2 linked regions of the Callithrix jacchus genome follow. The protein of the gene in region 1 interacts with the protein of each later gene in a pairwise test. Links are inferred from orthologs where the notes say so. Each region holds a gene or a part of one and is shown on either strand. Other genes may lie near its edges.

Region 1 (3,756 bases):
AAGGGGGAAGAAACCCCCTAGAAGGGCAGGAAAGAGAAGAAGCCAGTAGCCTGTTTAACTTCATACACCTTAAAATTAACAATAATCCTATATCCCTGGAGGATACTGGGTAACCACAACTCAAAAGATGGACACAAGAAATGCATTCTCTCTCCAAATCCTTCCTTTAATGTCAGGTAGTACTTCAACCCAAACACACAAAGTATACATACCATAGAGAAAGGGACCTGAGGGCATCTGAGTCATGCATGGCGTGGTAGGTACAAACCTTGGCTCAACCCAAAGGAGCAGTCAAGGGCCTCGAAGAAAGACAATGGTATGCTCGTTCCCCCTCCTTTCTCTTTCCTACTGGGCTTAAAGTCAGTGGAAAAGAACGCTTTTAATCGGTGGAACTGATAAGGCCTCAGGGCCCTGGAGGGTAGACTTGGTTGTTCAGTAATATAAAATATCTTTAAGGAAAAAAACAGCCCAGGCTTCCCAGCAATAGACCATGTATCAGCTGGTTCAGCAGCCTGACCTCTACATCTAGACAAGGAAGTGAGGAGGGTGATTGCTGGGCATTGGTGTAGGTTTATGATGGAGCAGCATAAGATTTTCCGTGCCCTGTGAAATGTATACAAACAGAGCCCCTTACCCTCAGCCCTGCTCTGCTGCAAGGAAGCTGCTGAGAGTGAGTGACAGCTGGGCACAGTGTCTTGTGAGACCAATTATAGGGTCTAATGCAGTGAAGTAAATCAGTCATTTAGGACCTATTTTCACACAGGGGCAAGGAAAAACCAGAAACAACTTCTCTCCTACCCTTTAAACTGAGACACTTCATTCTGCACAATTACCTGTAACAAATGTCTCAGGTCAAATCATAGGCCTTAGCTTCTGCTAGGGTTTGAAGTCTGGGAAACATACAATCCAGTTCTTCTCTTTCAGTCCAAGCTCTAGCTTGTCAGCAAGATTGCTGACAATTTCTCCTTGAGAGGCAGAAAAATCTGCAGTGAGGAAGGCAGCTATTGAAGGTATTCCAGGAGCATGAGACTGAGTTTGCAGAGCTGAGGGTTCAGTTTCCTTTTCTACTGATATCTTCTTCCTTTAGAGCAAATTTCCTCCGTAGGACCTCAGAGATAAGCACAGCAGGGTCTTCCTCCTTCAATAAACTCCGGTTCCTAGAGGCACAATAACAGCTTGAGTACTTCTTCCTGGGTAGTGCTGTCTATCTTTGAATACATTATCTCATTGAATCCTCACACAATCTTAAGAGGTAGGTGCTACTACAATTCCCTTTCACAGATACAGAAATTGAAGCATAGGAAAGTTATACAAGTTGCCCAAGGTCAGTAGTCACTCAGCAAGTAAGTGGTGAATCCAGAGTTCAAAACCAAACTAGCTGGTTCCAGATCTCTTCTCTTAACTAGAATGCTTTACTAGTTCCTGAAATAGCTATAAAGTGTGGGTAAAGTAAAGGACCATCAATCTGTAAGAGCTGGCCTCTGGTGGCTAATAAGCTTCTGCTTCTGCCTTCTGGCCCTATGTTTTCATAGTAGCATTTCCCCAGGTCAGCAAGGGAAGTGACTGATGACTCTTGGCTATTCTGACCCTTAATAGTTCTGGAGAAAAGGTGTGTTTGGGATTTCCTACTACCCTGTCTCCCTTTCAGGGGAGATGATGTTTTTATAAGAGCCAGAATTAGAGCAAAACATTCACTTAAGAAACTCATGGGAACAAAACCAACTCCAAACTGAAGTCCAAATTATCAGATACATTATATAACAGGGTCCTAGATACCTGGAAAATAGTTGCTTGAAATCCTAGTGAACTTATATACGTGTATCCTCATGAAGGTGTTTGATTGGTGATTAAGCTAAATATAAAGGCCAAGACTGACTATTCAACATTCAAAGCAAAAACAAGACTGCATTTGGTTGGTGACATTTCTGAACCTTGCTGATTTCGGTACTTTCCCATTCTTATTCACTGACCCAGCTCCTGATGCAAGGACATAAGTGGGAGGAGGGGGCTGGCAGTAAAGGTCTTGAATCTAATTTGGTCCAAAAGGCAAATAAGAGACAGTTTTGAGAGTCAACAACTATAAAGCATTGTGTTCAGAAGAAAACAGCTCAGAAAAGACCAAAAGCAGCAGCAACTGAATTTGGGAATATAGAAGACCAAAGAGCAGGTGAGTATGACCAACCTGACTAGGGCCAGTGAAGGAATGTTAATGGTGATTTCCCAAATGGGTCAACTGCCAGGAAGCAATGAGAAAGTCATTTAGCCTGATCTAGTTTTCAGAAGAAAATGCGTCCTAGGAAACAAAAAGGGAACCAAGGCAAGTAACTTTCCCTTTAACAGGAACTTTATCAACTCAGGAGACCTCACTTCCAGTCCCTAAAACAATTTTTCATCTGCATTAACAAATAGAGCTGGCTGGGTGCAGTGGCTCACACCTGTAATCCCAGCACTTTGGGAGGCTGAAGTGGGCATATCACAAAGTCAAAAGATTGAGACCAGCCTGGCCAACATGATGAAACCTCATCTCTAGTAAAAATACAAAAATTAGGCATGGTGGTGTAGTCCCAGCTACTCGGGAGGCTGAGATAGGAGAATTGCTTGAACCCTGGAGGTGGAGGTTGCAGTGAGCTGAAATCATGCCACTGCACTCCAGCTGGGCAACAGAGTGCACTCCATCTCAAAAAAAAAAAAAAAAAGTCAAATACATCTGCACAAGCTCGGTGCTGGCTATCAAGGTCTAAATCTCAAATGCTCAGGAGCTTACATTCAAACCAAGTTCCTCTGGTATCTGGTGGTCCTGTGCAGCTGTTGAAACTACAATTCAGTTGTGGATTGTATGCACCCCACTATGCAATGGGATGACTCCCTGAGGCTTCTCTGCCAGATGAAGCTTTTCCCCAAAGTCCCTCATGCGCCATCGGAAAAACCTAGAGCTCCACTCCTTGGGGTTCTACTTTAGTAAGTTAAAGATGTATTTTTAACAAATCCAAGCAATTCTGATACACAGACAGGTTTAGGAACTCCTGGTGAGTCTCAAAAGCCTTGTTCTCAAATCATTGAATTTGCAGGATTTGCTTGCATAATGGACCACTGTATTTTAAAGCAGAAATCTCCAACTTATGAAATTCTCCTCCCACCAAAAAAGTCTACTAATTTGAGATAAGAAAACAAAACATAATGTCATGCAACCCATCACTTTGAAAGGTGGGGCATGGAGACACTGTCACTAGCAGTATAAGAAATGAAGTGGTAAAGCCACCGAGAACAGAAGTTGGATTAGATGAGCCTTCTTGTAAGATCCTTACTAGCCAAATATTTGGTTTGGGTGACCTAACCCAATAAATGTAAAGTGTTGCTCTTTCCTCAAACTGGGGCCTAAGACACTAGCAAGCAGGTAGTCAGGAAGCTTTATGAATGACATAACATACGGTACTACTAAGAACTTACTATTTAAGTATGTTGCATTAGATCATTGGCCATGGGTAACTCAGAGTAAATAGATCACCAGAGTTCCTCATCAGATACTTACAGATCTTGGCTCTGTTTCATCCGGTGAAAGTCCTTCAGGATACCCATCATGTCTGCAAAGCTGCTGGCCTTGGACAAAGAGATGCAGTCATCCTCTTCAGACGAACTGCAGGTAGCTTTGTGTTCTGGTTTGCAACATTCAGGGCTGGCAGAACAAAGCAGGGGGACTGATGGAAGCTCAGGAACCTCCACCTCTGTCTCCTCGGTGATGTCACTAATGACAAAGGA
Region 2 (3,656 bases), on another chromosome or scaffold:
TGGGGGTCTGGAGAGCAATAGGTAAAAAGTTGTGGTGTGTCGGGCACAGTGGCTCACATCTGTAATCTAAGCACTTTGAGAGGCTGAGGTAGGAGAATCGGTTGAGGTCAGGAGTTTGAGACCAGCCTGGGCAACAGAGCTACATCCTATCTCTACTAAAAAAAAAAAAAAAAAATTAGCTATAAAAAATAAAAAGTTGTAGTGATGGTGGCTCAACTCTATGAATATACTAAAACCACTTAATTGTATACTTTAAATGAGTGAATTGGATGATGCTGTGTGCTTACATCTTAAACAGCTATTATAAAATAAAAACAAAATAAGTGCGTCTTTGAGTGTCTATGTGTATAATATGATCCAATCCTCAAGAGTGTTAAATGAAAAGGAAAGTGGTAGAACATTCCAAGCATGTAGTATGATACCATTCATGTTAAAGAATAAAAACAGGAACAGCCATGGTGACTCGCAGCTGTAATCCCAACACGCTGGGAGGCTGAGGTGGGAGGATCACTTGAGCTCAGGAGTTTGAGACCAGTCCGGCCAACATGGGGAAACCTCATCTCTACAAAATATCAAAAACTTGCCTGGCATGATGGGAGTGTGCCTATCATCCCAGCTACTCAGGAGGCTGAGGTCAAGGAGGATGGTTTGGGCCCAGGAGGTGGAGATTGCAGTGAACTAAGTTCCTGCCATACTGTACTCCAGCCTAGACCACAGAGGAGACTCTGTCTCAGAAATAAATAAATAAAAGGATAGAAACAATGTAGCATGTTACCATTTGTGTAAACAGACCAGACATATATGTTTCTACACATATAAATACAATTAACTGGTCTCTCAGTTTTTTACCATGTCATCTAACACTTTTTCCAAATTGTCTCCTTAATTGCAAAGATAAAACAGAGACTGAAATTACTAAAGGCAACTTACGAGTAAAGCTGAGTGGACGACTGGAGGGTTGGGATGGTCCATAAATAAAATAAGGCCAGGCAGACATCCTTGATCCTGGACGATGGCTCTTCTGTTTAATGGATCTGCTGCTAGATCCCGTAACTGGTTAACCACCGACAGAGCATCAGGCTCTTCACTCATGGTGGAGGTGGAAGAATTCATCTTCTATGCCATGCACATGAATAAAATCTTAAATTCTGTAGAAAAGGTTTGCAGAATTAGTTCTAGGCTGCTGAGGTATATTATGGCATTTGTGAAATAACCAGTATTATAACATGTTTAGAATGAAATAGGTAATGAAAACTAAATCCCACAAAAACTTAAAAATTGGCAACTCTACAGTTTAAGAACGGTAAAATGAACATAAGATGACTGAAAAAACTTGTGTGCACAATGTTTAAAGGATATCATCATCAATATTCCAATAAATTACCTTTTAGCATATATATATTTTAACAATTCAGTCACAAGAGATCTTTACAGCTCAAGCTTGTAACCTTCGCTATACTTCTCAAACTAACATTGCCAGTGTTTTTTTTTTTTTTCTCTAGACTATTTCTAGGCTTAAACAAGTGCCTGAGGGAAAAGTGGCCAGCTTACAGCTTTGCTATTCATCAGTGAACAAAAACCTAGCATACTCTGTCTATAAAGAATAAAATGCCCTAGGAAAAAGGGAGTAGAAGTCTGTAAATCAAGAAGCCAGGAAAGGTATTTAGCCTGCAGCCCAGGCCAGTCGAGTCTGAAAGATCATAGTGAATCCAGACTGAATTTAAACACATTCTGTCCATCTGAGTATGCCACATTCTACCACCTAACAGAAAAGCAAGAACAGGAAGAATGAAATAGAATTTGATGTAATTCATTTGCCAGATAAGGACACAGTCTTAGAGAAGTTCAATAATTTGCCCCCCATCACAAAAGCTAGTTAGCACAGAACTGGCCTAAAATCTTATTTACTATTTCTTAAACTCATTAGCTTTCCACTTTCCATACTTTTGTTTCTCCAGTTTTCTTTTTCCTCCAATATAGAGACTCACTCTGGTCACCCAGGCTGGAGTGTAATAGCGCTATCTCAGCTCACTGCAACCTCCGCCTCTGGGTTCAAGTGATTCTCTTGCCTCATTCTCCCAAGTACCTGGGATTACAGGCACATGACACCAGGCCCAGCTGATTTTTTATATCTTTAGTACCTGGGATTACAGGCACGTGACACCATACCCAGCTAATTGTTTTGTCACTTTAGGAGAGACAGGTTTTCACCATGTTGGCCAGGCTGGTCTCAAACTCCTGATCTCAAATGATCCACCTGCGCCCGGCTGATACACTGATTTTAAACCAAAAGTATAAGGCCGGGTGTGATGGCTCATGCCTATAATCCCAGCACTTTGGGAGGTCGAGGCGGGTGAATCACCTGAGGTCAGGAGTTTAAGTCAGGTTTCACCTGACTAACATGGTGAAACCCCATCTCCACTAAAAACAGAAAAATTAACTGGGCGTGGTGGCACATGCCTATAATCCCACCTATTTGGGAGGCAGGAGAACTGCTTGAACCCAGGAGTAGGAAGTTGCAGTGAACCAAGATCAGCCACTGCACTCCAGCCTAGGTAACAGAGTTGAAACTATGTATCACTTAAAACAAAAAAAAAAAAAACAGCCTGGCCAATATGGTGAAACCCCATCTCTATTAAAAATACAAAAAAATTAGTCAGGTGGCCGGGCACAGTGGCCCACGCCTATAATCCAAGCACTTTGGAGGCCAAGGCGGGCAGATCACCTGAGGTCGGGAGTTCAAGACCAGCCTGACCAACATGGTGAAACCCCATCTTTAAAAAAAAGAAAAAGAAATAAAAATTAGGCATGGTAGCAGGCACCTCTAATCCCAGCTACTCAGGAGGATGAGGCAGGAGAATCGCTTGAACCCCGGAGAAGGTTGCAGTAAGCCAAGATCATGCCATTGCATTTCAGCCTGGATGACAAGAGCAAAACTCCATCTCAAAAAAAAAAAAAAAAAAAAGAAAAGAAAAGGAAAAAAGAATAGAAAGAAAAAAATAGAATTTGACATAATTCATTTGCCAGATAAGGAGACAGTCACAGAGAAATTCAATAATTTGTCCCACATCACAAAACTAGTTAGCACAGAACTGACCTAAAATCTTACTTATTTCCTAAACTCATCAGCAGTTTTTCCAATTTCCATACTTTCATTTTAAAGTCAGTATATCACCCCGGGCGTGGTGGCTCACAACTATAATCCCAGCATTTTGGGAAGATTACAGGTACACACCACCACGCCTTGGTTAATTTTTGTATTTTTAGTACGGACAGGGTTTCACCATGTTGGCCAGGCTGGTCTTGAACTCCTAACCTCAGGTGATTCACCTGCCCTGGCCTCCCAAAGTGCTGGGATTACAGGCGTAAGCCATGGTGCCCAGCCACCCATAAGCTTTAAATGCTGTCACTAGCACAAATTCTATCCAAAATGGAACCTGCAGAACCAATCACTGGCTCAAAGACCCAAGAGGCAAGTCACAGCTAAAGAACCGGATACACAATCCAGCAATCCCACTTCTGGGTATTTGCCCAAAATATTTGAAATCAATTTGTCTAATAGATGTCTGCACTCCCATGTTTATTACAGCATCATTAACAGAAGCCAAGACATGGAATCAACATAAGTGTCCATCAGCAGATGAATGGGTAAAGAA

Evidence for each region.
Region 2: the proteins of MTFR1L (region 1) and ARMC1 interact in binary tests that used the Homo sapiens proteins (3 or more experiments, as listed by UniProt). The two-hybrid records come from large-scale screens. The link is inferred for Callithrix jacchus from reciprocal best matches to the Homo sapiens genes MTFR1L and ARMC1.

What each region holds. Positions count from the first base shown.
Region 1 is NC_133508.1:62,468,461-62,472,216, reverse strand, and holds the end of MTFR1L (mitochondrial fission regulator 1-like), read right to left. Parts: coding exon 3,530-3,756; intron 1,158-3,529; coding exon 1,052-1,157; 3' UTR 146-1,051; downstream 1-145. UniProt on the Homo sapiens protein: Mitochondrial protein required for adaptation of miochondrial dynamics to metabolic changes. Regulates mitochondrial morphology at steady state and mediates AMPK-dependent stress-induced mitochondrial fragmentation via the control of OPA1 levels.
Region 2 is NC_133517.1:21,506,275-21,509,930, forward strand, and holds part of ARMC1 (armadillo repeat-containing protein 1), read right to left. Parts: intron 1,149-3,656; 5' UTR 1,114-1,148; coding exon 931-1,113; intron 1-930.